Macaca mulatta: one gene and its partners. The protein of the gene in region 2 interacts with the protein of the main gene of each other region in a pairwise test. Links are inferred from orthologs where the notes say so. Each region holds a gene or a part of one and is shown on either strand. Other genes may lie near its edges. The genes, in order: RNF111, UBE2E3, RNF167, MUL1, TRIM39, CNOT4 and ATXN1.

What was found.
Region 1: the proteins of UBE2E3 (region 2) and RNF111 interact in a two-hybrid assay, tested with the Homo sapiens proteins (2 studies listed by BioGRID and IntAct). The link is inferred for Macaca mulatta from reciprocal best matches to the Homo sapiens genes UBE2E3 and RNF111.
Region 3: the proteins of UBE2E3 (region 2) and RNF167 interact in a two-hybrid assay, tested with the Homo sapiens proteins (2 studies listed by BioGRID and IntAct). The link is inferred for Macaca mulatta from reciprocal best matches to the Homo sapiens genes UBE2E3 and RNF167.
Region 4: the proteins of UBE2E3 (region 2) and MUL1 interact in a two-hybrid assay, tested with the Homo sapiens proteins (2 studies listed by BioGRID and IntAct). The link is inferred for Macaca mulatta from reciprocal best matches to the Homo sapiens genes UBE2E3 and MUL1.
Region 5: the proteins of UBE2E3 (region 2) and TRIM39 interact in binary tests that used the Homo sapiens proteins (3 or more experiments, as listed by UniProt). The link is inferred for Macaca mulatta from reciprocal best matches to the Homo sapiens genes UBE2E3 and TRIM39.
Region 6: the proteins of UBE2E3 (region 2) and CNOT4 interact in a two-hybrid assay, tested with the Homo sapiens proteins (3 studies listed by BioGRID and IntAct). The link is inferred for Macaca mulatta from reciprocal best matches to the Homo sapiens genes UBE2E3 and CNOT4.
Region 7: the proteins of UBE2E3 (region 2) and ATXN1 interact in binary tests that used the Homo sapiens proteins (3 or more experiments, as listed by UniProt). The link is inferred for Macaca mulatta from reciprocal best matches to the Homo sapiens genes UBE2E3 and ATXN1.

The regions. Positions count from the first base shown.
Region 1 is NC_133412.1:36,396,639-36,400,879, reverse strand, and holds part of RNF111 (E3 ubiquitin-protein ligase Arkadia), read right to left. Parts: intron 1,178-4,241; coding exon 829-1,177; intron 1-828. UniProt on the Homo sapiens protein: E3 ubiquitin-protein ligase. Required for mesoderm patterning during embryonic development. Acts as an enhancer of the transcriptional responses of the SMAD2/SMAD3 effectors, which are activated downstream of BMP.
Region 2 is NC_133417.1:85,943,764-85,948,004, reverse strand, and holds part of UBE2E3 (ubiquitin-conjugating enzyme E2 E3), read right to left. Parts: intron 2,770-4,241; coding exon 2,637-2,769; intron 1-2,636. UniProt on the Homo sapiens protein: Accepts ubiquitin from the E1 complex and catalyzes its covalent attachment to other proteins. In vitro catalyzes 'Lys-11'- and 'Lys-48'-, as well as 'Lys-63'-linked polyubiquitination.
Region 3 is NC_133421.1:6,494,622-6,498,019, forward strand, and holds the end of RNF167 (E3 ubiquitin-protein ligase RNF167), read left to right. Parts: intron 1-143; coding exon 144-234; intron 235-467; coding exon 468-573; intron 574-705; coding exon 706-799; intron 800-1,670; coding exon of another isoform or gene 1,671-1,742; intron 1,743-1,832; coding exon 1,833-1,913; intron 1,914-1,989; coding exon 1,990-2,291; 3' UTR 2,292-2,501; downstream 2,502-3,398.
Region 4 is NC_133406.1:220,470,257-220,474,228, reverse strand, and holds the end of MUL1 (mitochondrial ubiquitin ligase activator of NFKB 1), read right to left. Parts: intron 3,511-3,972; coding exon 3,390-3,510; intron 2,761-3,389; coding exon 2,031-2,760; 3' UTR 809-2,030; downstream 1-808. UniProt on the Homo sapiens protein: Exhibits weak E3 ubiquitin-protein ligase activity. E3 ubiquitin ligases accept ubiquitin from an E2 ubiquitin-conjugating enzyme in the form of a thioester and then directly transfer the ubiquitin to targeted substrates.
Region 5 is NC_133409.1:152,701,400-152,706,399, reverse strand, and holds the start of TRIM39 (E3 ubiquitin-protein ligase TRIM39), read left to right. Parts: upstream 1-1,998; 5' UTR 1,999-2,581; exon of another isoform or gene 2,582-3,151; intron 3,152-3,236; exon of another isoform or gene 3,237-3,281; intron 3,282-4,484; exon of another isoform or gene 4,485-4,504; 5' UTR 4,505-4,638; intron 4,639-4,909; 5' UTR 4,910-4,916; coding exon 4,917-5,000.
Region 6 is NC_133408.1:175,335,578-175,340,349, reverse strand, and holds the start of CNOT4 (CCR4-NOT transcription complex subunit 4), read left to right. Parts: upstream 1-1,485; 5' UTR 1,486-1,699; intron 1,700-2,428; 5' UTR 2,429-2,514; intron 2,515-4,772. UniProt on the Homo sapiens protein: Has E3 ubiquitin ligase activity, promoting ubiquitination and degradation of target proteins. Involved in activation of the JAK/STAT pathway. Catalyzes ubiquitination of methylated RBM15.
Region 7 is NC_133409.1:166,775,005-166,778,284, reverse strand, and holds part of ATXN1 (ataxin-1), read right to left. Parts: intron 657-3,280; coding exon 126-656; 3' UTR 1-125. UniProt on the Homo sapiens protein: Chromatin-binding factor that repress Notch signaling in the absence of Notch intracellular domain by acting as a CBF1 corepressor. Binds to the HEY promoter and might assist, along with NCOR2, RBPJ-mediated repression. Binds RNA in vitro.

The DNA of each region.
Region 1 (4,241 bases), on a different chromosome or scaffold from region 2:
ATTTAGTATAGTTACTTTTTTGGGGAGAGAGAGAGACAGGGTCTTGCTATGTCACCCAGGCTGCAGTGCAGTGGCATGATCATGGGAGGATCATTTAAGCACAGGAGTTCAAGGACACAGTGAACTATGGTCACACCACTGCACTCCAGCCTTGACCCCCTGGGCTCAGGCGATCCTCTCATCTCAGCTTACCGAGTAGCTGAGACCACAGTAGTATGCCACTACGCCCAGCTACTTTCTTTTTTTTGTAGAGACGAGGTCTCCTTATGCCCAAGCTGGTCTCAAACTCCTGGGCTCATGTGATCCTCCTGCCTTGCCCTCCCAAAGTGTTGGAATTACAGGTGTGAGTCACTGCAGCCACCTATCTTTTGTTTTCTATTGTTGTTAAAGGAGACAAGGTCTTGCTCTATCACCTAAGCTAGAGTGCAGTGACACAGTCACAGCTCAGCTTTGACCTCCTGGGCTCAAATTATCCTCCTGCCTCAGCCTCCTGAGCAACTGGGGATTACAGGCATGAGCCTCACCCAACTTACAGTTACAAGTTACATTATTTCTAAAGACTTCGTGGTGTTTTTTTTTTGGTTGTTGTTGTTGTTGTTTGTTCTTTTTTAAAAAAAAGAAAACAACAACAACAAAAAACAGTATTTTACTGTGTTGCCCACATGGACTCAAACTCCTGGGCTCAAGCAACCTTCCTGGCTCAGCCTCCCAAGCAGCTGTGACTACAAGTGCATGCCACCATGCCTAGTTAGATTTCAGAGTTGTAAAGACCAATGGAAGTAGAAGAAAAAGCAAGCTTGACTTTCTTTTTAAAAATGTAAAACATACGTTGGATGCTGCATCATCCTCCTCCTTTGAACTTCCATCCTCTGCATCACTTCATGAGGATGCAGTCGCTGTGCTGGAGGTGCGGTGGCTGGAATATGGTGCGATATTGGCTGGTGTGTAGGAGGAAGATGCTGAGGGATTGGTGCAGCTGTACTGGCTAAGTGAGTTGGTGGTGGGGGTGCCACAGGATGAGATGTTGCATGAGAAGATATTTGAGAATGGAAAGCATGTACGGGATGAGGAATAACATAATCCACCTGAGGTGGAGGCTGAGTCTGAGGAGGGGGATTTCCATGAGAATGCGGGCAGGCAGAAGCTTGATGATGAAGTGGCCTTGTCAAAGAGGCATCTGCAAGAAAAATATTTCAAGTATGTTACACAGGCACCATGCAGTTGAACATATATTGCTATTATACATTCCTATTGTACTTTTAAAGATATTAGTAGATATTTTTATGAATACTTTATCAAGTATTCAAGCAACTGCTCAAGCAACTTGCTCCCTTCTTACAATAATCTTGGATATCTTATGTAAATATATATTATAATTTAACTTCACTCACAGTTTCACAACATTCTATTATATGAATATACCAAAATGTACTGACAAAATCCCCACTGATAAAAAAGAAACCCAAATGCTATGATAAATATCTGTGTATGTGGTCCCTCCTGCACTCACTCTTTCATTTATATACATGTATACACACATACATACAGATCATTTCTGTAGCATAAATTGCTGTAAGTAGTTGTGGGACAGAAAGAAAAAAATAAATTTAGATGCCAGTTGATAAAATACCCTTTCCAAAAGGTTGCCATAATTAATATTTCCATCAAGAGTACACAGGAAGGGCCGGGCACGGTGGCTCACACCTGTAATCCCAGCATTTTGGGAAGCCAAGGTGGGCAGAATCACCTGAAGCCAGGAGTTCAAGACCAGCCTGGCCAACATGGCGAAGGCCCGTCTCTACTAAAAATACAAAAATTAGCTGAGCGTGGTGATGCACACCTGTAATCCCAGCTACTCAGGAGGCCGAGGCAGGAGAATTGCTTGAACCTAGGAGGTGGAGGTTGCAGTGAGCCGAGAATATGCCACTGCACCCCAGCCTGGGCAACAGAGTGAGATTCTATCTCAAAAAAAAAAAAAAAAAAAAAGGAGTACACATGAAGGCCTGATTACCCCCACACTACCACTAAATTTTTTTTTTTGAGATGGAGTTTCACTCTTGTTGCCCAGGCTGGAGTGCAATGGTGCAATCTCGGCTCAGTGCAACCTCCGCCTCCCAGGTTCAAGCGATTCTCCTCAGCCTTCCAAGTAGCTGGAATTATAGGGATGCGCCACCATCCCTATACAAATTTTTTTTTGTATTTTAGTAGAGATGGCGTTTCTCTATGTTGGTCAGGCTGGTCTCAAACTTCTGACCTCAGGTGATCCGCCCGCCTTGGCCTCCCAAAGTGCTGGGATTACAGGCGTGAGCTACTGCGCCCAGCTCACTACCACTAAATTTTTAAAATAAATGCCAATCTGAGAAAAATCTTTTATTTCTTGACCACTTGCATTTCTTCTCAGAATTATCTATTTACATGCTTAGCCTATTGTATTATTCACCTTTTTCTTATTGACTTATATAAGTATTCTTTGCATATATGGAAGCTCTGTCATAATAGGTGTAAACATTTTTCCAAACTGTCTCTCTCTCTCTCCCCCTACCCCATGTTATCATCCCTGTGCTACATTAAGATGAAGGAGGCATATTTGTTTCCCAATAAATATGGAAGTAAAGTCCTTAATAAGATGGTTCCTCGCATTTCTTCATTCTACATCTTTATGTTTCAAAGTGACTGTTGAAAAATCCCTCTGAGGAATACACATCTTCCTTACTCTTAGAGATGTGCATCTACTTGACATGTAAAAAAAAAAAAAAAAAAAAGTTTGTTTCCTTAGATTTCAATCCAAATTTCATTTTATTGGAAAATGTTCTTGGAAGTCTGATATACAGCAACAGCCATTCTCTAGTTTCATTACAGAAGAGTTTTCAATTTTTAATGCTTTTGATTCATTCAGCAAGGGCAGAAGTTAGGTAACCACAACTCAACTATATTTTTAAAGTATGCCTTGTTTGTATGTACTTAAAGGAAACTTTCAACAAATCTAATTTTTAAAAGTTGCAAGACAAATTTTTAAACCAATTTTCGAACTGTTTTCAAATCAATGCTTTACTCTTTGAGAAGGCACAAAGCTCAGTAGCTCTTAATCATAAAAAATGAATACACTATGTTTATGATTGTTAACTATCCTTTCTCAAATTCACAGCATTTTTTCTAGTTTCAAAGTGTTATATTTGTGTAATCATTATACAAGACAATATTCACAAATATTACAAAACAAGAAGTTCTGTTTCAGAATGAGTCCATTTATTTAACTACTCTTAACACATCACTTTAATTCACTGTTTATCTAAACAAAACAGGTTGCTGATCATTTTAAGAATGACATAGTCTACATTCCCAAAAACCCTTTCCCTTCCTCTATTTGTGTTCCCAACAGTTTAAAAAAACAAAAAGTCTTGATATTGTTTCCTAGACATTCAACGTATCACTTGCAGATGTAGTATTATGATTTGTTCCAACATTTACTCACTACATTCCTATAGCTTTACAGTGTAGACCAGTTGCTTTGCTTTACAGTGTAGACCATTTGCTTTATGATTAATCATAAGTAGCCTTACCTGTACCTCTCTCTCTCTCTCTTTTTTTTTTTCTTTTGAGACAGAGACTCGCTCTGTCTCCCAGGCTAGAGTGCAGTGGTGCGATCTCAGCTCACTGCAACCTCTGTCTCCCGAGTTCAAGCAATTCTCTTGCCTCAGTCTCCTGAGTAGACGGGATTACAGGCGCCTGCCACCACGCCCAGCTAATTTTTGTATTTTTAGTAGAGACAGGGTTTCGCCAGGTTGGCCAGAGTGGGTTCGAACTCCTGACCTCTGGTGATTCACCCGCCTCGGCCTCCCCACAAGTGCTGGGATTACAGGCGTGAGCCACCGTGCCTGGTCTTTTTTTTTTTTTTTTTTTTTTTAAGAGACAGGTTCTCACTATGTTGTCCAGACAGGAGTACAAGGATTATTCACAGGTGTGATAACAGCACACTGCAACCTTGAACTCCTGAGTTCAAGCAATCCCCCTGCCTCAGCAGCCTCCCGAGTAGCGGGAAATACATGTTCATACTACCAAACCAGGCCTTACGTATCCTCTCAATACATCTTATTAATAAGATAGCAAAACTTTTAAATAATAGCATTTCAAGTACAGTTCTTTTATCACTTAATCAAGACCATAAACCTTTCAAAAGCAAGGAGAGACATATTCTTATTGCACAAGTATTGTTGTTATACATATAAATGTACTTACGAAAC
Region 2 (4,241 bases):
TAAAGTAAGGAATTGATCAGTTATACTTAAATAACTGATACAGTAATTCTATCTACGTGTGTGGGTACGTGTGTTTGCATCATATACAACTGTGTGTGCACACACACATACAGAAAGACAAAGTGAGGAAGAGAAATATTTTGGTGCCAAAGGTAAGAGGAACTGATGAAGATTTTTTTTAAAACATAAAAGTTACATCAGTTTCTTAGTAGAAAAGATCAGTATCAATTCAGCTAATTTCCTACCAAACGTTAGAAAATACTGGAGGATTTAGAAGAAGGTTGGTAAAATCATTTACACTACCACCTTTCTGTTTCTTAGCCTTTTATTTCTACAGCTGGTTCACTGTCTTGTTAGACTAAAATATTAAAATAAACAAGGTTTTTAGCTACTGGACAAAGGAAACTAATATATCCCTGAAATGTGTGAGAGAAGAAGATAAATCATAAGAACAAACACTGCCAAGTCTCAAAACAATCACAAACACTAATTGGATAGTTAATTCATAATTGGAGTTGCTGAGAAAAAAAAAAAATTTCTGATCATTTGAAACTAGCAGTGCACTGTGGGCACAAAAGTGGAATCTGGGAAAAAAATATTAAATGCTCTCAAAAGTGTCTTTCTGAAAAGAATGCATGATGGGGAGGGGGTGGGGGAGCACCACACTAGTTTAGTGGGGGAGGAAGAGAGAATGCCCTTCCAGAACTGCTCTGACCAATACAGCATATACTAGATGTGCATATACAGCTCTTAAATTGTGGCAAAGTGAATTGAAACAAACTAAAAGTGTTGTAAAATAAATACCAGATTTCAAAGAGTTAGTACCAAAAAGAAAATGTATAAGATTTCATTAACAATACTCTTACAATGATTACATGTTGAAATGACAATATTCTGAATATGTTGGGTTAACTAATATAGTATTAAAATTCTGGTTTTTACGTTTTATGTGGCTAGTAGGACATTTAAAATTATACATGTAGATTTTACTATATTTCCATTAATGCTGTTCTAGAATATAGAAATAATTTATGTTCAGATCACTGACATTACTACTCAATACACATGTGATTTACAAATATATTTTCAGTTATAACTACTGAACAGAGTAGCATTCATGAACGGATTTCTATTAAATATTTATTATCCTTCAAGAAGCTCAACATTTTTTCCAAACTTCAAAAAGATTTAGCATTGTAGAGAAATAATTGTTCCAAATACCAAGATCACACCAGAAATCATTTTTCACTTGTCCAACTACAGATCTTAATAATGGTTAATACTGTATATCTTAGCAACAGAGCGAACTAACACCAAAGAATTAGAAATTTAATATATTGCAATTTCAGCAAAAAACTAACATGCTAAATTTATAATCATTATATTAATCAAAATTATTGGCAAATCATATACAGTACTATATACTGTGAAATTCTTATATTAGTCAATTGCCATTTTCCATTAAAAGGTGTCAGAAAAACTTGAGTCTTTTTCTTCAATTAATCTTCCCCATATGCAAAAATAATTTCAAGATCTTACATTCTGATGGGACCACACGGTTAAAGCACTTTAAACACTAACAGCTGTAACTGAGAGTAAACGGTGTCTGCGGTTTGGGGTAAATACCACTAGATGGAACTCTTGCTACCTTGTTAGATGATTCATTACTGAGAAATAACCCTCTTTTATTCACAAAATAAATCTGTTTATGTGCACATACACACATACACACAGGCTACATAAATTTTAAATGGTATACATTGCAACATAAACTTTATAAAGTATAGAGAACAAAAGTTACCATGTTGGAAAGAAAAACATTTCACCATAGTTAAGGGCTATGGACTTGAAAATATACTTTCCTCTAGTATGTCAGACATCTCTGTAACAAAAGCATAATAATGCTCATACTTAATTCCAATGGTTTTTACCTGCTGACTTGACCATCGTAGAAACAGAAGTTACGGGTGGGAGCCATTCAAGTAACTGTTATGTTTAAGCTTTGCAAAGTTGACGGTCATTACAAGGCACAACTCACCCCGTTCTCTGTTATCCATCTAATTCATACTTCAAATGAACTCAGAGCCAACAAAACTGAGGCATTCTGTTTCCATTACTACATCATACCCACAGAAGGTACAAAATGAGTTTACTAAATATTATTCATTTCCCTCTTCTTGGCTATGAAGTTTTTGCTTATCTATAAAGATAAGGTATTCAGCACAAAATTCACATTATTAAACACTTATTTCTGGAAGCTGTCAGTTTTACTTTTTATCCTAATATCTTCATTAATACCTTAATAGTTAATTAAGGTATTATTAATTAAGGTATTAATGAAGGTTCATAGGATATTTTCCCTCATAAGCATACAATTTATCTGCTTTACTGAGGTGCAAGGTATAGTTTTATTTACAATTAAGAATTAAACTTTCTGCTTATTACAAATTATTTGTGAAAGGAGTCAATTACTTCCAGTTTTAAAATTCTTGATTACATGAAATTTTCCATATCAATCCATGAAAAGCAATGAAATAAAAATAATTGCATCAATACACATTTAAGTTTTAGAATAACCCCAGTTAAATTTAGAGAAGGAGGATTAAATATTAAAGAATGCACTTCTAGCTTCTTACCTTTGGTGGCTTAAATGGATAATCTGATGAAAATGTGATATCCAGAAAAAACACACCACCTTCATATACAGAACCCGGTGGACCAAGTATAGTTGATCTCCATTCATAAATGTTATCTCCTTTAGGCCCAGCACTATTTAAAAGAAATTAAAAATCAGTATGTACATATATTAGCAATTCATGTTAATATCCTAAAACCAGGGAAGTGTTAAAGGTAAATTAGCAATCTAGAGCAGTAAGAAGTGAAATAAGTATAAAAGAAATAAGCCCCAATGTGTTTGCATGTGCATGTGTGTAAGAACTTATTTGGAAATATTACAAACTTACAGAGGAAATGCAAGAAAAGTACAAAGAAAATCGGTATAACTTTACCCAGTCTCCATTAGCATTCTGCTCTGCCCCATTTGCTCCTCTCTCTCCCCGTAACACACACCCCTCTAAACCTGCAAGCATGCATACAGACACGCTTTTTTCTCAGTCATTTGAAAGTTGCACACTTTATGGCCTTTTCCCCATAAACACTTCAGCGTGCATTTCCTAAAAATAATCTCCTATAAATCACAATACAGTTACAATTTCAGTAAATACATGAATACAATTCTTTAAACTGCAATTTGTATTATAATGTTGTCAACTGATTCTGTAATATCCTTTTAAAAAATTAATTTTTCTCCGGATGCAGGACCCAGTCTTGGAACCATGTATTTCCTGTGTCTTTATTCTCCTTTAATATGGGTCCTTTCTGCCTTTAACTTTTGTAACATTAACATTTTTTGCAGAATCTAGTCTTCTTTTTTTAAAAATGCTCATCATTTTGAGCTTTCCATGTTTCCTCATGATTTGACTCATGTAATGCATTTCTGGCTCAAATAGTATGTGATGTGTCCTTCTCATGGTATCACATTTGGAGGCACACAACATCTAGCTGTACCTCATTGGTGATGTTAAGTTTCATCATCCAGACATAGTGCTATCCAATTTTCCTACTGTTTAGTTACCATTTTTTCCCTGCAACCAATAAGCAATCTTTGGACAGACACTTTAAGACCAGGCAAATATCCTGCTTCTCATCAAAATTTCTTCCCAATATTAAGCATCCATTTGTGATCGCTATAGTTTGATCTGTCCCTGCTAAAACTCATGTTGAAATTTGACCCCCAAATGTGGCAATGTTGGGAAGTGTCTGGGTCACAGGGGTAGATCCCTCATGAATAAATTAATGCCCTCCCTCAGGGGTGAGTCCTCACTCTAGCAAAAATGAACTAGTTCCCAAGAGAACTCACTGTTAAAAACAGTGGCTTTCCTTGGTTTCTCTTTCTTCCTTCCTCTCTTGCTTTGTGATCTCTTTGCATTTGATGGTTGCCTTTCCACTGCAAGCTGAAGCAGCCTGAGGCCCTCACCAGATGCAGATGCCCATCAGGTGAACCAAATAAACCTCTTTTCCTTATAACCTACTCAGTCTCAGGTATTCTGTTACAGTAATAAAATCATGATTTTCCAATTCTAGAACTTTCTCTACACTTAACAGTTACCCCTTGAGCCCTTTCTACTGCCTGTACGTATGTACAGAAGTAAGTATTATTGGTATGGTCTCATTTTTTTCCC
Region 3 (3,398 bases), on a different chromosome or scaffold from region 2:
CAGAGATGGTGGGAAGGCTGAAGGCTTCAGGAAAAGAAGCCAATCCTTTAGGTGGGTTGGGGCGAAAGTGCCAGATGCCAGGGTTCCCAAAGGATTTGAGTAGAAGGTTGTGAGTCCCCAGAGTAACACCTTGATCCCTGCAGAGGAAATCCAGCAGCAGATCTGGATCCCATCTGTATTTATTGGGGAGAGAAGCTCCGAGTACCTGCGTGCCCTCTTTGTCTACGAAAAGGGGTAGGACATATGCCTCCTTCCCATTCTTCCTTCAGCAAGCAGTTCCATGCCAACCTGGAGCCCAGGCCTCATTACCCGAACCATTCAGCCTCCTGTCCTTCCTTCCCTGCCTCTTTGACTTTCTTCCCATTCCCATCCCCACCTATGGGCTTTGTCCAGAGCCAGTTGCTTTGTCCCTCTGTTTTTCTCCCTTTGCCTTTCTTTCCCTGCTGAGACTGGTCGTCCTTTCCCAGGGCTCGGGTGCTTCTGGTTCCAGACAATACCTTCCCCTTGGGCTATTACCTCATCCCTTTCACAGGGATTGTGGGACTGCTGGTTTTGGCCATGGGAGCAGTAATGGTGAGTAGCTGAGGGAACATGATGGGAAGCACTGAGGCCAGACTGGATCTGGAGTTGGGAGATGGGAGTGGCTTGTCCTAGATTGTCTAGTTTTATTCCTAAGCCTTGTCCATCCACCCCCTCTTCCACCAGATAGTTCGTTGTATCCAGCACCGGAAACGGCTCCAGCGGAATCGACTTACCAAAGAGCAACTGAAACAGATTCCTACACATGACTATCAGAAGGGTGAGGGGTTAGGGGAGGAGAGGGTTTTTCCCACCGTTTACCTGGTTCTGAAGGACTTTGAGCCCAGAAGATAGGGTATACAAAGATGGCAGTGGCTGGGCACAGTGGCTCACGTAATCCCAAGTGCCTGTAATCCCAGCACTTTGGAAGGCCGAGGTGGGTAGGTCGCTTGAGCCCAGGAGTTTGAGACCAGCCTGGGCAACATGATGAAACAAAAAAATCCCACCACTTTGGGAGGCTGAGGCAAGTGAATCCCTGGACCCCAGGAGTTCCAGGCCAGCCTGGGCAACGTGGTGAGACCCCATCTCTATAAAAAATAACAAAAATTAGCTGAGCATGGTGTTGTGCGCTTGTAGTCCCAGCTACTTGGGAGACTGAGAAAGGAGAATCACTTGAACCAGGAAGGCGGAGGTTGTAGGGGGCTGAGATTGCACCACTGTGCTCCAGCCTGGGCGACAGAGGGAGTCCCTTTCTCAAAAAAATAAAAGTAATAAAGATGGCAGTAAGAAATTTTCAGCTTGAGATGCTGTCTTGTCTTGTTTTTACCCATAAATACAGTGAAGATGGGAGAGATATAAAGCAAAGATGATTAAGTGAAATAATTGTGGGAAATAATAGAGGGACAGACTTTGCTTATGGGGCATGTGGAGAGAGCAGAAAAATGGGAGGAATGGGGGAGGATTCAGTTAGAGAAGGAAGAAAGTGGTACTGTGGGGCTGGGGCTTTAGGCCCTGGGGCCTCCAGTGCCCGTATAAGGCTATGGCAGAAGCCCTGCCCATTTCCGTCCCTTCCACTCCCTATCTCCACCCTCACACCTCCCCAAAAACCACTTCCCTTCTTACCTCTGCTTCTCTTTGCTTGTCCCTTTTAGCCCTAAATTCTTCCATGTTCTGCCCTGACCTTATCCTGCCTACCTGTCTTAGCTCTTCCACTGGCTTTGTAGGTGAGGGAAAATTTTCGCAAGGCTTTAAAAGCCTTAGCCCTGGGTCACGATGGCTCAGTGAAGGACTAGATTATTTTCTTTCTGTCCCAGGAGACCAGTATGATGTCTGTGCCATCTGCCTGGATGAATATGAAGATGGAGACAAGCTGCGGGTACTCCCCTGTGCTCATGGTGAGGCCCTCACTGCCTGCCCATGCCCCTCTGCCACTGGCAGCCACCAGGTGCTTCACCTTGTTCCTCTCTGCAGCCTACCACAGCCGCTGCGTGGACCCCTGGCTGACTCAGACCCGGAAGACCTGCCCCATTTGCAAGCAGCCTGTTCATCGTGGTCCTGGGGACGAAGAGCAAGAGGAAGAAGCTCAGGGGCAAGAGGAGGGTGAAGAAGGGGAGCCAAGGGACCACCCTGCTTCCGAAAGGACCCCACTTTTGGGTTCTAGCCCCACTCTTCCCACCTCATTTGGTTCCCTAGCCCCAGCTCCCCTTGTTTTTCCTGGGCCTTCAACAGACCCCCCACCCTCTCCTCCCTCTTCCCCCGTCATCCTGGTCTAATAACCCTCTACACGTACACTTCTGGTGACCTATTTGCACAGACCGTCTTCTTCCCTCCAGTCTTCTAAGTTGAGGGATAGGGGACATTCCATCCTAAGCTGCTCCCTTACCCACACCTATCCTTTTGAGGGGCATTGGGGTGGGGCTGGGGCAAGCAAAGGGACTGGGTCTTCACTTCTTGGGCTAATAAAATTGTTTTTTGTGGACTAAGGAAGGGTGAGATAATTTTTAGGTGAACTTAACCCTTTGGGGGAATCACCCCTTTAGCCATAAGGAGCAAGAGAATGCTGAGACACTAACCTATAGTCATGGGGACAGCCCCAGCAGGCATTTGCTATGACTCAGGGGGAGCCCCACCCACAAGGATGACTCAACTAGCCCTGCCTTGCCTGCAGGCCTGCACCCATTCTCTGGTCCAGATGGCTCTATTCCATTATCCACCAATTTAACCAGCACACTGAGGACTTAGGCCTGGAAATGCCACTGTGGAGGGGCAGGGCCACCTGGCCAGAAGCTCAAATTCTTGCACCTTGTAGTACCTCAACCTTCCTGCTCCCAAGCCATGATAAAGGAGGCAAGTCACAGTGCCTGTCCCCCATTCTGACACCCAAGCTCAAATCACACAGCACCTTGTTAGAATCTTTTTTATTCAGAAAAAAAAAAAAAAACCCAAAAAACAAAGTTTTCCAACCACACACAGGAGGGGTATGGGTAGGGGGAGGTGTCTGTCCATCCAGCCCTGGTCCCCAGCCCATGTGGTTTTGGCAGCAATAAGGGGTATGGGGTAATGGCCTAAAAAATAAAATGGTGTATGTGTATGGGGGAGGAAAGGGGTGCAAAGCTGTGGGGAGCGGTGAAGGGGAAGGGACAGACGAGGTCAGTACTGGGAGCGCCGAAGGTGGGAGGCCATTTCATAACATTTCTTGTTGATCAAACCACCGTGGACACCTTCTTTGCCCATCAGCAGGACTAGCGCTGGAGGAGGAGGAAAGAGAAAGGAGGCTAGGACCCAGGTGTCACAATTCCACCCCCTGCCAGCTGTTCAGCAGCTGTCCAGCCCTGGGGGCTGTAACCCAACCTCATCTCTCCCAACCCCCCCCCAACACA
Region 4 (3,972 bases), on a different chromosome or scaffold from region 2:
AGGCCATTCCCGTCAGGGGCCTTTCACCCTGCCCCGCCCTCCAGCACCTTGTGTAAAACCAGGGTCTTCGTACTTCACTGGACGGACTCAATATTGGCAAGTGGATTCTTACCCCAACTTTCACCTGCTGCTCTAGTGTGGCCACCAGTTCGCCTCTATGGACTTGGGGAACACGTCTCTTTTGAGTGTTCCTGTTAGCACTGAGGAATTTACTGGCCGCACATTTAGTGAGCAGGAAGATGAGGACTTTAGAAACAGCTTGGGGTTTAAATTCAGACCCGTGACTTGCTATATCTGTGCCCTCAGCCCAGTGAACGCACCCTCTCCAGGCCTCCTTCCTCTCCCATACAGCAGACACACCAGGACTCGGCCTGCAGGGGTTTGTGAGGATGCACTCACTCTGAAATAAGTGTGAAACAGCACGCAGCACAGGACCTCCTGCACAGCGGTATTGCTAAATGCTCATGTCCTCTCTGCTGTCCCCCAGTGCCCCATCTCCATCCCATTCTCCCAGCAGGTGAAATCTCACTGCCCTGGTTTGTAGCCTGTTGGGACAGACTTCAAAGACGGTCAGCAAGTCCAGCTATAACCTGCGGGCGGGCTGTCCAGATTCCTCCCTGGGGGCAGGCATCCCTGCCTCCGCATCACACCATCTGGGGGAGGCCCAAACCACTACAGCCAAGGAACAGGACACAGAGGCCTCAAACTCCCCACCTTTCTCTCCACTGCAGCGGGGATTCAATCCCATCCTGAGAACGCTTAGGCTTAGCCATTTAACTCTTTTTAACAAGCAACAGGCTAGCACTTGGTTGCAACATGTTTAATTTGTGCTGTTCACACTGGACACTGCATCGTACTAGTGTCGGCCCCTGACGGCACCCCTTCCTCACCTGCACAAAGGAGGACGAGATATGAATATTCAAAGGCAGAAAAGGGCTATAAAAAAAAGCTGTGTATGTGACCTCCGACTGCTCAGAGGCGGGGGAAGACAGCCCCATTGGTCTTGCACTCAAAGGCTCACCAAGGACAGGTGAGGGGCAAATGGTAATACAGGGAGGGGGTAACAAAAGGAGAAGCAACATGAGTACACCAAGATGTCAACACTGCGACAGGCTGGATGAGGGAGCCCTGAAAGGCCGTATGCTCAGGGTGCCAGCCGGCTGCTTTTCCTTGTGACAGCCTTGCAAGGAAGCTGTGAGGCCAGGACACTAGGCCAGCGGCATCCACACTGTGTCCTTCGGGAGGCGAAGCCTCTGCGCCTCATTCTCCAGGAGGGAAAACCAGGACCACCCCTGAGCTTTCCCAAGTGGTAGCACTTCAAATCAGGGCCAGCGGCGAAACCAGGAGGGCTGCCTGACCAACTGCCCTTCACGCGATCTCTCTCCAATCTGTTGCCCAGGGCCCCAACCATTTGGGCAGAAGCAGATGTGCTGACTTCACTTTCTTTTGTCCTCTACACACATGTGCAGGCGTTTAAGAGGCAAGCCGGTGAGGGAAAAGGAACACAAGTTGACCCGCCCAGCCTGACAATTCTGAAGAAAGACTATTTCCCGGGGCATGAGGAAAAAGAAGAAAAGCTGCGGCAGAACCTCTTTGGAGGCAGCATCCAAGGCATCCGTTGTACTCAGGGCCCAGCCTTTCCTCCCCTCTGACTGAGTCCTCCACCAAGTCCACAGCAAGCAACAATTCACCAGAAAAAAAACAGAAGACACAGGAACAGAAGGGCTGCTGATCACTGACTTTGGTGCCTAAGCGATGAGGCGTTTTCAGTCACACTCGCACGGATCTGGCTCCTGGGAGGAGACGCCACGGCAGCCTCCCAGGGCAAGGCTCTGATTCTCAGGCCCCACGTGGACAGGGTCCCCATTCAGGCGGGAAAGGCAGCATCTTGCCACTGGAGGCGTGGGTCCCTCAATCATACCTGGAGGTGACAGCTACCCCCGCCACTGCTCCTTCAAAGGCCTTCAGATAAAAATCCCTGAAAAGGGGGCAGGGGAGCTACCATGCCAAGCTGTGCAGCTTCCAAACCATTAGCTGTTGTACAGGGGGATCACCCGGGTGATCGCCTGTCTGCAGATAGGGCACTTCTTGGGCTCTGGCAAGGCGCGGTAGCACTCGGTGCAGGAACAAACGTGCCCACACTCCAGAAAGACGCAGGACTTGAAGCTGCTCAGACACACGACACAGGCGCTCTTCAGACTCTCCCTGTCCTCGGGCTTGGCCCGGCTCAGCAGCTGGGCCTCATGCTCCTGGAACTCCTCCTGCATCTGCTTGAGGCGCAGACGCTCCTGCCGCTGCAGATACTGCTTCCGGAGGATGAAGAAGAGGGTGGCACATGTGGCAAAGCCAAAAACCAGCGCCAACACCTTCCAGAGCCTGACGCTCGACTCTTGCCTCTGCAGCAGGCTGTCGAAGTCCTGGCTGCTTAGATAGTACTGCATGCCTTGTTTGGGCGGCTGCAGGCGGACAGAGTTGTTGTCCAGGACCAGTTCGCCAACCCCCGTGAGGGTGGCCCCCACCTTCAGCATCTCCTCGGTCTCCTGGATGCCTTTGGGCCGCTCACCGCTGATGTAGTGGCCGATGACATCGGTGAAGGACTGAATCGAGGGGTGGAACTTCTCATACACAGTCTCTAGGCCCAGATCCACTGAGTCCAGGGGCTTCAGCACTCGCACGGCCACATCCACACCATCCTCGTGGGGCACCAGGTCAAAGGGCACTGTGTTGGTCCTCTGATGAATGATCTTTGAGCAATCATTCCTAGAAGAATAAGAGAACTAAAGATACAGGGTAGCAAACAGCAAACACCCAGGCAGAGCTGGAGATCAACTAAATGCAGAAGACAGCATAGAGTCTGAAGTAACCAGAACAAGACAGTAAGATCACTATCTACAGGTGCCTCCTAACAAGGAGGCTCCATTTTTAGGTCCTGGGGCGATCTCAGTGGGCAACAAACACCGCCACAGACTACGGAAACCATTCATTTCCCTTTCCACTGTAAAACAAACATCTAAAACAGAACCCACTAGGACCAGCTGGAAAACTGGTATTTCATGAGATGGCACAAAAGCATTTTAGGAAATACTGAAATCACTGATTCAGTGGTTCTCAAACTTCAGTGTAACTAACAACAGATTCCAGGTGCCTGATCCTGGAAATTCTGGTTGGATAAGTCTGGAAGGGAGCCCAGAAATCTGCATTTCAACAAGATGCCTAGGTGATTCTGATGTAGGAGGCCCACAGGCTACACACAAGAATATGACCTGCATTAAGAGACTGGTCTTCAACCTCTCTCAGGAGAAGCTGAAGACAACGCAACAGCACCCAGGACCCCGGCATTTGAATAGACCAACTATAAGGGTTTTGGCCAGTGGAGAAGTGATACATACCAAAGGTGGGTGGTTCGATTCCACACCATCTTGTGCTCCTGAAGTGTCAGGCGCTGAATTACCCCCTTGCAGTTTTCCACAAACTGGCTGTTAAGAGTTTCTTTAACAGACCGTACAGCTCCTAAGTGGACACAAATTCTATTATTTCTAAAGAATTTTTCTGCCCTCTCCTTTCAGATAGTTTAAAATGTGTTTTCTGGTCTGGCACAGTAGTTCACAACTATAATCCCAACACTTTGGGAAGCCAAGGCAGAAGGATCACTTGGGGCCACGAGTTTGAGACCAGCCTGGTCAACACAGTGAGATTCCATCTTTACAAAAAATTAAAGTTAGCAGGGCATGTGCCTGTAGTCCCAGGTACTTGGGAGGCTGAGGCAGGAGAATCACTTGAGCTCAGGAGTTTGAGGCTGCAGTGAGCTATGATCACACCACCATACTACAGCTACCTGGGTGACAGACTCAAGACTCTATTTGAAACGGAGTCTCACTCTGTCACCCAGGCTGGAGTGCAGTGGCACAATCTTGGCTCACTGCAACCGCCCCCCGGGTTCAAGTGATTCTCCTGCCTCACCTCCCAAGTAGC
Region 5 (5,000 bases), on a different chromosome or scaffold from region 2:
TGTTGCCAAGGCTGGAGGGCGGTGGCAAGATCTCGGCTCACTGCAACCTCTGACTCCTGCGTTCAAGCGATTCTCACGCCTCAGCCTCCCAAGCAGCTGGGATTACAGGTGCGCGCCACACGCCCGGATAATTTTTGTATTTTTAGTAGAGACAGCGTTTCGCTATGTTGGCCAGGCTGGTCTCAAACTCCTGACCTCAGGTGATCCACCCGCCTCGGCCTCCCAAAGTGCTAGGATTACAGGCGTGAGCCACCGCGCCCAGCCTTCATTTAGTATTGTCTAATGATGTTTTCATACTCCAAGAAGAAAGTTCAGTATGGACCACAAAGCCAAAAAGATGTCCTCTCTGGCTCTACAGCAAAGATTTGCCAAGCCCTGTTATATGTCATACTATTTGCGCTTCATAATTTTATAGTTTTACCTAGGCAGTCTCCATTTTTTCCTTCCATATTCAGCGTAAAATCCCCGTTTTTTTTTTTTTTTTGGAGACGGAGTCTCGCTCTGTCGCCCAGGCTGGAGTGCAGTGGCCGGATCTCAGCTCACTGCAAGCTCCGCCTTCCGGGTTTACGCCATTCTCCTGCCTCAGCCTCCCGAGTAGCTGGGACTACAGGCGCCCGCCACCTCGCCCGGCTAGTTTTTTTGTATTTTTTAGTAGAGACGGGGTTTCACTGTGTTAGCCAGGATGGTCTCGATCTCCTGACCTCGTGATCCGCCCGTCTCGGCCTCCCAAAGTGCTGGGATTACAGGCTTGAGCCACCGCGCCCGGCCCGTAAAATCCCCTTAATATCAGTCTCTAGGAAAGCTCATTCTTCATAATCCTTAGAATTGGACCTCCTCTTGTTAATTTCCTTAGTCTAATCACAATCCTCCTGGTTATTTACAAACCGAACGCCAGAAAGGAGGGTTATCAACATCTTATGCGCCACAAATTAACAAATCAAAACCAAATCTCACTCTCCCTCCGAAGCCAAGGCTAAGGAGGCTCACCGCCCAGTTAGTGGCTTTCAAACTACCCTTACAAGTGAGGCATCTTGTGAATTAGAACAACTGCTGCTGCTAAAATCCCTAATGGCTACATAGCAATGTGAAAAAAAGGTATCAAATGTAATTTTCTCAAATTTAATCCTCTTCAATTGTTGGCACAAAAAAAGGAATAATAAAGGTAGACAACTGTAATTAGCATGTGTGATCCCAAATCTTTATACCTTAGATACTGGATATTTTCTACAAGTAAATAGTTTCTGGCTCCCAAGATGAGAGGTTAAATAATGCAGGGTGTTTGTAAACAGCAGCACAACTTACACCGGAAATTAGGGCACTTTCTCACCAAGGAGAGTACATCAAAATTTGCTCATCTCTTTCAATCAATGTTCTCCAGGACTAGTGCTGGGGGCGGGGAGGCGGAGCAAGCTATCTTTTCTACCAGCCGTGTCACACCCCTCCTAGCACTAACCCCTCCTCCTCAGCCTCTTCACACCTCTACCCACTACTAACCCCTCCCCAGCCCCATCACCGCTTCCCGGGCCCCTGACACCTCTCCCAGCATACTCTTCCTGGCCTCATCACCTCACCCACTTCCTCCAAAATCACAGGACCTGCTAAGCTTCCAGCAGCAAGCGAGCAAAGCAGGGAGGCTGTAATGTAAAAGTCCGCAGTCCCTACACAAACACTATCTGCTCCTGCGGAGAAACTCAAGTCACAGCCCCAGAAGAAAGAACAGGCCTGGGCTCTCACCCAGTTAACCAGCGTTTATCCAGCGCACGTGTTGCGGTCGGACCCCATGCGAAGGAGCTAAGGACACAAAGGTGAGCAGCAGAGTCGCGGTTCCAGCTCTCTCCCGGCTCCCACTCCAGCGGGGTAGGTAGATAATTTCGGTAAACTTCGCCAAGCAGGGGCAGGACAAAGAGTATTTGAAGTCTACCCGGGGGAGAACTTACCTAATCCTTGAATGTTAAAAGGCTAAAACTCCACCAGTCGGAAGTGACGTGCCAGCTGAGCCCCGCAGGTCCGCCACGTAATTGGCCGCCGCCACAGCTAGCCACCCTCTCCCCGGACTGGCCCGAAGAGAGGAAAAGTGTGGAAGTCCACAAGCCGCCCTCGCCCCGCCCTCTTCGTCGACTTTCAGCTGCACTGGGGAGCGGCGGCGCCTGGCCAGAGCCGGGGCCTGGAGCCTGGACGGGACAGCCTCGCCGGCCGGGGCGCCCGTCCAGCGCCCTGCGGGCCATGGGCTTCAGCGCTCGAGCACGCGCATGCGCGGGCCTCTATCTCCAGAGGATTCCTCGGGTCACCTGGACGCCAGCATCTCAGCCACCTGCCCCTCTGGGTCCCTTCTTGTCCTTGATTCCTCCTGCTGGTTCTCATCGCCAGCCCTCCTCCACCTCCTCCTTCCGCAGCCACCGCTAGACCCGGCCGCTGCTGCCTGCCGACACCCCAGCTTCCACTGACACGAGCCTCGGCGCGGCTTCCGCTTCCGGCGAGTATTGTGTGTCGCGCCGCGGGGCGGGGGCGAGGGGAGGAGGAAGGAGGGAGGCAGCGCTCCGGCGGCTCCGCGCCCCGCACTCCCGGACCCGAAGCCGGGAAGGTAGGTGCTGTCCCGCCGCCGCGCCCGAGTCTGGGGCCTGCCCCCGCCGGCCGGCTCCGCAAGTCGCGTCCCAGCGCCCCGCGACTGCGTCACCGGCCCCCCGCACGTAACCACAGCTGCCTCCGCCCGCCTCGGGCCCGGGCGGACGTTTTGCCGCCCCGGCGACGTCAGCGCGTCCGGCGTTGCTTGGCTACCCCGCCGTTCCCCCGTCCCGCTGCTGCTCACCTCCCCGGGTGAAACTCTGACGCAGTCACCGCGGGTCTCGGCTGCGTCATAGCGGCGGGCATCCCACCTTCACGTCACACCTCTTCCTCACCTGGACACGCATCCCTCCCTACCCTGCCAGCAACGACGTTTCCTCTTTCCCCTCTCCAATCCCCCTGCCCCAGATCTGGCGGAAGAAAATGGAGACGGGGGTGGGACAGAGTTGTGGACAACCTCTCAGGACAGGGTCGCAAGGTGGGACCCTGAACAGTGGTTTAAACAAAATGAGATCGTCCCTGAAGTTTGCCCTTCAGCTGAGACACAAGGAGTAGAGGGAGACGAAGGACTAACCCAGAGGCACTCAAGGTCTCACTATGACTGTAGTTTAGAGTCCTCTCCATTCTTCCCGAACCCTTTCCCCATTTCTTTCACCACTTCTTTGCCAGTCTAGATCTGTCCTGGTGCCTTACTGTGCATACAGTTCTACTCATCTCAGGTGAGGAGGCCACCTAATTTGTAAAAGACTGAGGAAGGGGTAGGGTCACCACAAGTCAAAGTTGGATTTCCACAGGTAGAGAGAAATCATCTGATTGAACTTCTCTCCTATTGCTGACAGAAAAAATTCAAGTCCAAAGAAGTTATCAGCTCCTACTCCAAACACATTTGTGTGTGCCAACAATATATACAGGAACAATTGTTGTTAACCTACCTCATTACATGGCCACTTATCTCTCAGCACATAGATTTACCAAATTTCCTTCCTTCCAGTAGGTCCCTAGAGAAGGATGGGGGTCAGGAGGAGAAAGGGTTATGGGGATAGATACATCAACTTACCCATGGCTAAAAGTATCGACGTTTTAAGATGGAGTGGGGGACCAGCGTTGTGTTTTATAAATCTCTCTTATGCATTTCCAATTCTTCTGAGGCTGCACTTGAGGGAGATCTCATTGCCTCTTTTCTGTCTCTTAATTCCCAACCACTCCAGAACCTGTTAGTTGGAGACACAGTATGCCCAGGATGTTAGTTATCAATAGTTATATTGAAGGATTCCAGTCACTATAAATAGACTTGTTTCTTTACAAGAAGTTGTTGGCCTGAGCTCAGTAATGTACTATTTAATATAGTTGCCATAATTTATCAGTTTTCAGCAGTTCTGAGTGTCCAAATGAACACAATAGAAATGGAATGTTGCATGAAATATGTTATTCCAAGAAGAGAGCAGACTTCCTTTAGGCTAGTCTGATGGATAAAAGGAAGAATAATTTCAGATTTTCCTGGAAAGAGAAGGTTGCCTTTGCTTCATTCATTCCATTTGTTAGCCTTTAGAACACTGGTATCTAACCTTTTGAATGGGAGGACTCTTTTTACTTATCTGTGGTGGCTGATAAAACAAAAATTATGCATGGACCTTTTGTGGTGGCTGATAGAACAAAAGTTATGCATGGACTTCTTTTTTTTTTAGCTTATCAGCTGTCATTAGTGTCAATGTATTTTATGTCTGGCCCAAGATACTTTTTTTTCCAATGGGCCCAGGGAAGCCAAAAGATTGGATACTGTGGTTTAGAAGAATGAGAGAACAGTGTCAGAGAATCAAGCTTAGACTCCAGTGGATTCATCATAAAGCCCTTATAACATTAAACTTTAAAATATGCTTAATTTAAGAAATGTTAATATTTTTATGACATTTTTTACTTCTCAGATTCCTTTCTTATCTATTAGAAACGTATGTCAAACGAGGATACAGTGGTCTGGAACTATTGGTTCTAAGATACAAGTGGAATGAACCTGGATCAGGAGAAGTATGCTGAGCTAGAGTTGAAGGAAGCTGCTCTTTCTAACAAGAGAAAGCAGAGGTAAGAGACAAGATAGATAAATTGGGGGTTGTGTGTCAGTTTACTAACAAGAAAAAAAGGTTAATGGCTGGGAGTCACAAGTTTTGGAAATGGAGAAACAAAGAGATTGAATTGATTGAAAGAGAAGATGGAGAATAACAAGATTGGGCAAATCTGGAGTTAGGACTTAACAGGGATAAATGTTGGGCCAGGGATGCAAAAAAAAAAAAAAAAAAAAAAAACACCTCCAATTAATATTTTTATTTTTTCTGTCCTCTTCCCCACTCCCAAGTTAAATTATGGCAGAGACAAGTCTGTTAGAGGCTGGGGCCTCTGCAGCCTCTACAGCTGCGGCTTTGGAGAACTTACAGGTGGAGGCAAGC
Region 6 (4,772 bases), on a different chromosome or scaffold from region 2:
GCCGAGATCGCGCCACTGCACTCCAGCCTGGGTGACCGGTGAAACCCCTTCTCTACTGAAAAACACAAAAAATTAGCCAGGCGTGGTGGCGGGCGCCTGTAGTCCCACTACTTGGGAGGCTGAGGCAGGAGAATGGCGTGAACCTGGAAGGCGGATCTTGCAGTGAGCGCAGTGAGCCTAGATTGCACTCTAGCCTGGGAGATAGAGAGAAACTCCGTCTCAAAAAAAAAAAAAAAAAAAAAAAAAAGGAAAAAAGAAATGAGGGCTTCTTCTTATGACATTGAGTTCATAAATTTAAAACTGCAACCTCTTTCCCTACTCCCCTTTCCTAAGTTTTTAAAATCGGTTATGACATACTATGCATTTTAATCACGTATTTTTTAAAAAATGCCTCCTCTCTCCTCTTCCTCATCCCAACATATCACTAGGATGGGGACAGGGAATTTTTTCTATTTTGCTCACCATTGTGTTCTCAATATATAGAAGAGTACCCGGCGGCCAGGAGGAGCTCATTGAGTATTTGCTGTATGAGTGGGTGAAGAATACATGCAATAAGCAAAAATTACTGCTTCGAGCGCCGCTTTCACCAGAGTTCTGGGATGCAAACGGGAGCGACCAGTACATTGACTGACGTTTGTGACTGATGATTCTTCAGTGCTCGTAGAGATTGTGGCTGCATTCATTGTTCTTGGGGATGTGCCGATGTGTGTAGAGTTTGTCAACTTGCACACAGCTGTGCTGGCAGGACAGCGAACTAACACTAATTCGCACAGAGGTCTGCAAATTCTCAAATTCACATCAACCGAAGCACGTTATTGTAAGTGCACGGGTCTTCCGTTCTCTTGGGTAATCTGCACAGAACAATTTAGTATATTTCTTCACCGGCGATTTTACAGTGAAGAAGGTATCAAGGGTGGTGGCCCCCAAATGCGCAAGGACAGGGAAATGAATTAAACGGGCGTCTGTTTCCTCCTTGTTTCGCAAACAGACGCCAAGTCTGTATCAAATTCTTACCCTAGATCAAATCCCGCGCTCTTCGTACCCCAACCTGCCTCCACCTCCACCCCGCCCCCTTTAGATATCCCTGGTGGGCGGGGCAGAGAAGAAACATTCCGGGCTCCCAGAAAAATTGTCTAGCCTCGCCCCAGTCTTGGGGTCGCACATTTCCAAAAACACCGAGGACACAGAATGACTAGTGAAAACCGCCGACCAAATGACATTGAAGTAGCACACGCGCGCAGAGAAGGAAGCAAAACACGAAGAAAGGCTCAGTCCAGCAGCCACGTGAGGTGGGCGATCTCCTCCGCCCTCTGAGAGAGGACTTCAACTCCCGGCGTGCCCCTGGGCGGTTACCCTCCGAGGACTCCAACTCCCAGGGTGCTGCGGGAGCGGCCACCGCAACCTCCCACTCAGCCGCCCGCCGCTCCTCCCGCCCCTCCCCCGCCCCTCCTGGCCGGATCGGCGTGCGCCTGCGCACGGGAGGCCGGAGGAGTCTTACCCTAATGTAAGATGGTGGCCCGTCTGGCTGTGGAACCCACCGAAAGCTGAGAGTCTCTCTCTCAGCCGTAAAGGTCGGACTCACTGAAGCAATCAGGCCCGGTTCTGAAGAGTTTTTTCCCCGACGCTCGTTCGGTGGTTTCTTGTGAGGACGCGGCAGCGCGTGGAGTCGGCTGAGGGAAAAGCGAGGCAAGGCAGGCGGGTGAGTCTATGCGGGGCTGGGCTTAGGGGAAACCCGGGGCTGACCGGCTACGAGAGAGCGGAGGCTTCGCTGGGACTGTACAGGCCGCACCCCCCTTTCTCCCCACCCCCCGCCTCATCTTCACCCTCCTCCTCCTTGGTCTTCTTCCTCCTCCTCCTCTTCCTCCCTCTCCTCTTTACGCCACAGCAGTTATCAGGAAAAGCGAGCGGGTCAGAAGGCAGCGCGGCGGCAAGCAGCGACTCTCCTTCGAGAATTTCTTTAACTGGGGAGCCGAGGCGGCTTTTGGTCTCCAGCTTTGCCCCCTGCATTTTCATAGGGGCAGGATTCTTAGGTCTCAGTCCTCCTTGTTTCCCCAACCCCCTATTCCCTGTCTGACGTCCTTTCCCACTGGCCCCCGTCTCCCAAGACCAAAGCCATCACTTCCACTCTGACCCGTGTTGCTGCTGCTGCTCGTTAATCCCACTGCTCATTGCCCACCCGTCCTGCTGCTTGTTTTTTGCTCCACTGCTACCACTCTGGAGTTAGCCTTTGCCCCCCTTTGGTGCTTGCATTCAGCCCACAGTGTATCTGCCACACTAGGGCTTCTTCCGATTTGCAGTCTTTCCTTCCACCACATCTGTCATCTTAAAGCTGCCCCTTAAGTGTCTAGATTATGCTTCTGCTCCTGCTAACCCACCTGTTTCTTAGCCTTCTTGAGAATTGTCCGTTCCTTCCCTCTTTCCTGTACAGATCCTTTCCATATACACTTCCAGAAAAAGGGATGCCCCGTGGTGGCCCTTGAAAAGTAAAGGAAGTTGGGAAGTGAATGAAGTGAGGTCGGATAGTATTAAACGTTATGAGTAAAGATCTTTTATTCAGTCTACTCCGGAGGGGACCGTTTTCGTTTTGCTTTCAGTGATCTATTTGTCGCTTATTCGCTCTGTTGTGTTAGGACGTGGCTTTTTTCTTTTCTTTTTTTTTCATTTTGGACCGGTTTTTACCATGCTACTAAGCGTTCTTTGGATTGTCTCTGCCCAGGACACTTCGTGTGGGCTCTGATTTATACTAATATTAACCCCAGCAATTCAAAATAAGATAAATTTGGCGCACATACAGAATTCATCTGTGAACTCCGCTAGCAAATATAAGTGATATTTTGATTATATGTGGGTTATATGTGGGTTCTGTATTGAGACTTGATTTTTGACTGAGTTTTATTGATGTTCAGCTTAATTGATGACATTTTATTTATGATTTGAGTGGAAATTTCCTTTCCAGTTATTATCAGATTTACTTCTTATTTTTGGATTTGGGAAGTTCTCTTGACATTTCTAGGATGATAGTTATCTGAATAAATTGTCTTCTCTTGAAAATCCATTAGGTATGTATGCAAAAGAAAAATCGATGTTTTTATATAAACCTGTTTCTCGTATTTTTCTCATAGAAAAGAAGGGGGCTGGGAAAAGAATGACAAAGCTGTGCACATACATGCATTTGGTAGAACTCACTGTCATTGTTATCTACAGTAAAAAGCAGAAAACTAGAAGCAAGAGGTGGCTTATGATGTCCATGTTTTGGTGAAAGCAAAATTAAGATATACTGACTAATGGTATAATGGGAAGAAGCAGCCCTGGCTATAATCAGACCACTGTGAGATAAAGAATTACCAGAAAAGCAACCAGGATTACATAGTGCAAATACATACATCCCAAGTTTGAACATGACATATATGACATTGCATTCTTAAGATATATGTAAAAATGTTGAACATCAGTGACAGTCTCATGTGGCAGTCCATTAGTGGGTTATTGTAATTTTTACACATTTTACCTGTAAAATTTGGAATCTTAACATTTGGCATTATGTTCACTTGATTGTGATAAATGGTCTGTTTTACCAAATGTAAACTAAGGTTAGAAAACCTGTCTATAAAACTTTTTTCTTTCAGCCACTTAAGCCCCAATTTGGGGGACCAAATAAATACTCTTAGAACTGCAAGCAATTTATATAGCAAACTTTGTCCTAAGTTACAACTTGAGTTTTTTTTTTTTAAATCGCTTACATTTAGTTTATCAGAGGAGTGTATTTAATAGTTGATCTTTAACTCTAAAAAATATACTTTTTGTTGTTGTAATACACTGGTGGAGAAGCTTTCCACTTTGAACAATCCTAACACAGGTTTAGAAACTCTTGGCAATCATACTTGGCTGAATTGTAAGCAGTTGAGTTCTAGGAGAGGACTGTTTGTCTGGTAGAAGGGAGTAAATGATTTTAATACGTCTTTTTTTTTTTTTTTTTTTATTTAAATGGTGTTTGTCTCACGAAATATTTTCTCAAGTAATTTTCTCCCCTCATACTTTTTGCTTGCAGTTACCGAATTCTTCATTTCGGCCCTCTGAAGTCAAAAGGAATTTACTTTTGTATCTTTAGTACGTTTAAAGAAGACATCTAAAGTTCTTTAGTATTTTGATAAGAAATAGGGAGCTGAGATTTCTAAATATTTTTGTGTGGTTTAAGTTTTTTGATCTAACGTTATGAACGCTACAGCTTCATACTTTCATGGTTTCTTTTGATAATTTGGAATACTTTCTACCAGGTTCAATAGTTGAATTCTTGAGATCAATAGATTATTTCTGTAAGAATGTTTCGAATATGAATCGCTTAAAGTTGGCCTATTATAAAATTAGGATGAGACAGTTATACTCAAATAACAAAGTACAGAAAAATAAAATTGTTTTTGTATTGCCCTTCAACTTGAGTCTAAAAGGGAGTACTAGCGATAACTTGCAACTCATTACTTTGTTAAAGAAAGAGGGTGTTGCCAGAGGATGAACTCCTAGCTTTAAGGGAGTTTTATTTTAAAAATGATTTTGTGTGCTCTAAAGGAATAAAAAAAATCTTATCAGTTTAAGCAGTTTGGATTTAGAAATCTTCCCTTTTTTCCCCACTCTACTCTTGGCTTTAAAAGGAATCTATATTCTTCAGTTTAATAAATTTATCTTTTTGTTGTTTTGTGTGAGAAAAATATTAAATTTTCTTTTCTTTCTCTCTCTTTTTTTTTTGAGACAAAGTCTCACTCTGTTACCCAGACTGG
Region 7 (3,280 bases), on a different chromosome or scaffold from region 2:
CAAGGTTAGAACAGAAACCTAAAATAAGAGGATAACATGTAAATACTGTGTTATTTAGCCTACAGTACAGTAATCTGGATACAAATGATAAGGGAGAGCCACGTTTCCTTTCCCCCACGCTGCCTCTACTTGCCTACATTAGACCGGCCTTCAATGCAAATCTTAACCTCCTGAGGAATTAGAGAAGGCTTAGGAAGAGTCAAAGGTGGTTCGTCTTCTGACTTCTCCAGTTTGCGGCTCTCCGGCGCCGACCACCTCCTCTTCCTCGTGGCCGCGGGCTTGCTGGGTTCTATTTTGGTGAGGAAGGGCGCTGCAGGCAATCCCATTTTCTCTGGAAACTTCAGTTCGCCATTCTCAGAGAGCATCTGGGCACTCCCCTGGTTGATTCCGTTTTCCTGCTCGGCATACCTGTGTCTGCTGCCCGCCAGGCCGTCGGCCTTTGAGTGCTTCAGCAGGACGCTGGCGGGATCCACGGGCTGGCCCTTTTTAACAGAGCCGTTCTTCAGGTTCTTGAGGGTAAGCGAGATGCACACATCCCCAACTGAGAGTTTGGAACACGGCAAATCAAAGAGCTGGCTGGTTCTCTCCGGACAGCAGGATGACCAGCCCTGTCCAAACACAAAAAAAGGATACTCTACCAAAACTTCAACGCTGACCTGTGGAAACAGGGAGAGACAGAGAGAGGAAGGGGACAAATGAAAACATTTTATTCTTGTTTGATTTTATGCGCACACACACGTATGAACTCACACATACACACATAGACACACACAGGCCGAATGGGGGAAAAATGACTCAGTTTGCAAACCTCCCTCTCCCCCAGTCACACCCTATAAATGAGGCTCTTCAGTTTGGGTTGTACCTGTACTTACCATAGACAGAAGCCAGTGAAAAGACCATCAATATTCAAAATATTCCACCAAGTGTTAGCTCTATAGCTGGTCTCTGTTAGAACCAGTCAATCAAACCCCAGCAATGACAGAACACCCACTTAGCTTTCAGCACCGAGCTAGGCTCTGCGGGTGGCTCAGAAGCCCAGCATGGTCTTAGATTTTATGAGCTCAATGGACAGCTGTTATTATCATACAGGACACGACTAAACAGGGATCAGAGTGAGACTGTAGGTGAGTTCCAAGAGGCAGGCATGATGTGTTTATCATTGAGTCCCCAGCCCCTGAAAGGATGCTTGGTGGCAGGGCACAGTGGCTCATGCCTGTAATCCCAGCACTTTGGGAGGCCAAGGTGGGTGGATCACTTGAGGTCAGGAGTTCAAGACCAGCCTGGCCAACATGGCGAAACCCTGTCTCCACTAAAAATAAAAAAAATTCGCCAGGTGTGGTGGCAGGCACCTGTAATCCCAGCTACTTGGGAGGCTGAGACACGAGAATTGCTTGAACCCAGGAGGCAGAGGTTGCAGTGAGCTGAAATCATGCCACTGGGCCATCTAGCTTGGGCCACAGAGTGAGACTCTGTCTCAAAAAAAAAAAAAAAAAAAAAAAAAGTCAATTTTCAATGTCCTTTCTAGATGTAGTAGACTAGGTAATTTGGACCAACCCTCCTTCTGAGGACAACTAAAAACTCTGAACAAAAATGTAAGCAAACAAATAAATTTAAAAACTCTGGACAAAATGTTTAAACTTTTTTTCTTATAGTACTGGACAGCAAATAAGATAGTAAAAAGGCCAGGTGCGGTGGCTCATGCCTGTAATTCCAGCACTTTGGGAGGCCAAGGCGCATGGATCATCTGAGGTCAGGAGTTTGAGACCAGCCTGGCTAACATGGCAAAATCCCGTCTCTACTAAAAATACAAAACTTAGCCAAGTGTAGTGGCAGGCGTCTAGAATCCCAGCTACTCAGAAAGGAGAATCGCTTGAACCCGGGGGACGGAAGTTGCAGTGAGCCAAGATTGCACCACTTTATTCTGAGACCAGCCTGGCCAGCATGGTGAAACCCTGTCTCTACTAAAAATACAAAAATTAGCCAGGTGTGGTGGCAGGTGCCTATAATCCCAGCTACTCGGGAGGCTGAGGAAGAAGACTTGCTTGAACCCAGGAGGCAGAGGCTGCAGTGAGCCGAGATCGCAGCACTCTACTCCAGCCTGGGAGATAGAGCGAAACTCCATCTCTCTGTCTCTCTCTCTCTCTCTCTGCCTCTCTCTCTGTCTCTCTCTGTCTCTCTCTGTCTCTCTCTCTCTCTCTCACACACACACACACACACACACACACACACACACAAAGTCCCTGGGTTGGATCAGGAAAGCATGATGGCCCAGGCAGTTGAAGCTGGTGTTAGGGGCCTGTTATCTCCTGAAGACACCTGAACATTCCAAAGTGGAGCAGTTGGGAAACCAACTGGACTTTTGATAATGTTAAGAGCATAGGGAAAAGGTAATGAAGTTCAGGGTACATCAAGGGAGGGTGCTCTCTGGTGAACCCCATTCTTTTCAGTTGTGACCCCAAAGCACTGTCCCTTAGAGGTGACAGTGAACCACAAGCCAACAGGCCTTTCAAGGTCTCAAGCTCAGATTTGACTCATCTGAGTTCCTAAAACTGGATTAAGGTCTTGAATTATTTTCACAATTTTGCAAATAAACGCATTCAATTTAAAAAGGGGAAGTTGGTGGTCATGAGGAGACCAGATAACATGTATAAACACTAATAAAATATCAGATCTTAAAAACAGATGCTCCAGGGCTTCTCATATAGAGTCATACATACAGACTTTACAATGACTATGCTTACAATATTCAAGAAGATTAAAGACAGCTTGAGAATTTTGATAGGAAACTAGGACCTGTTTTTAAAAGATCCATGAAGCCAGGCATGGTGGCTCACATCTGTAATCCCAGCACTTTGGGAGGCTGAGACGGGGATGATCACTTGAGGCCAGGAGTTTCAGATCAGTCTGGGCAACAAAGTGAGACCCTGTTTCTACAGAATTAAAAAAAAAAAAATAGCCTAGTGTGGTGATGCGCGCCTGTAGTCCCAACTACTCAGGAGGCTGAGGCAGGAAGATCTTGAGCCCAGGAGTTAGAGGCTGCAGTGAGCTATGATCGCAAGATGCACTCCAGCCTGGGCAACAGAGTGAGACCCTGTCTCTAAAAAAATTAATTAATTTTTAAAAAGATCTATGAGAATTATAGAATTAAAATATACACCCATTGAAATCAAGAATGCAATGAGTTTTCCAGTTGAATAGACGTGGATTAAGAAAGAATTCATGAAGTGGATTCTCTAATTAGAGCTTTAGAAGAGACTCCACAGAGTGAACATAGAGACAA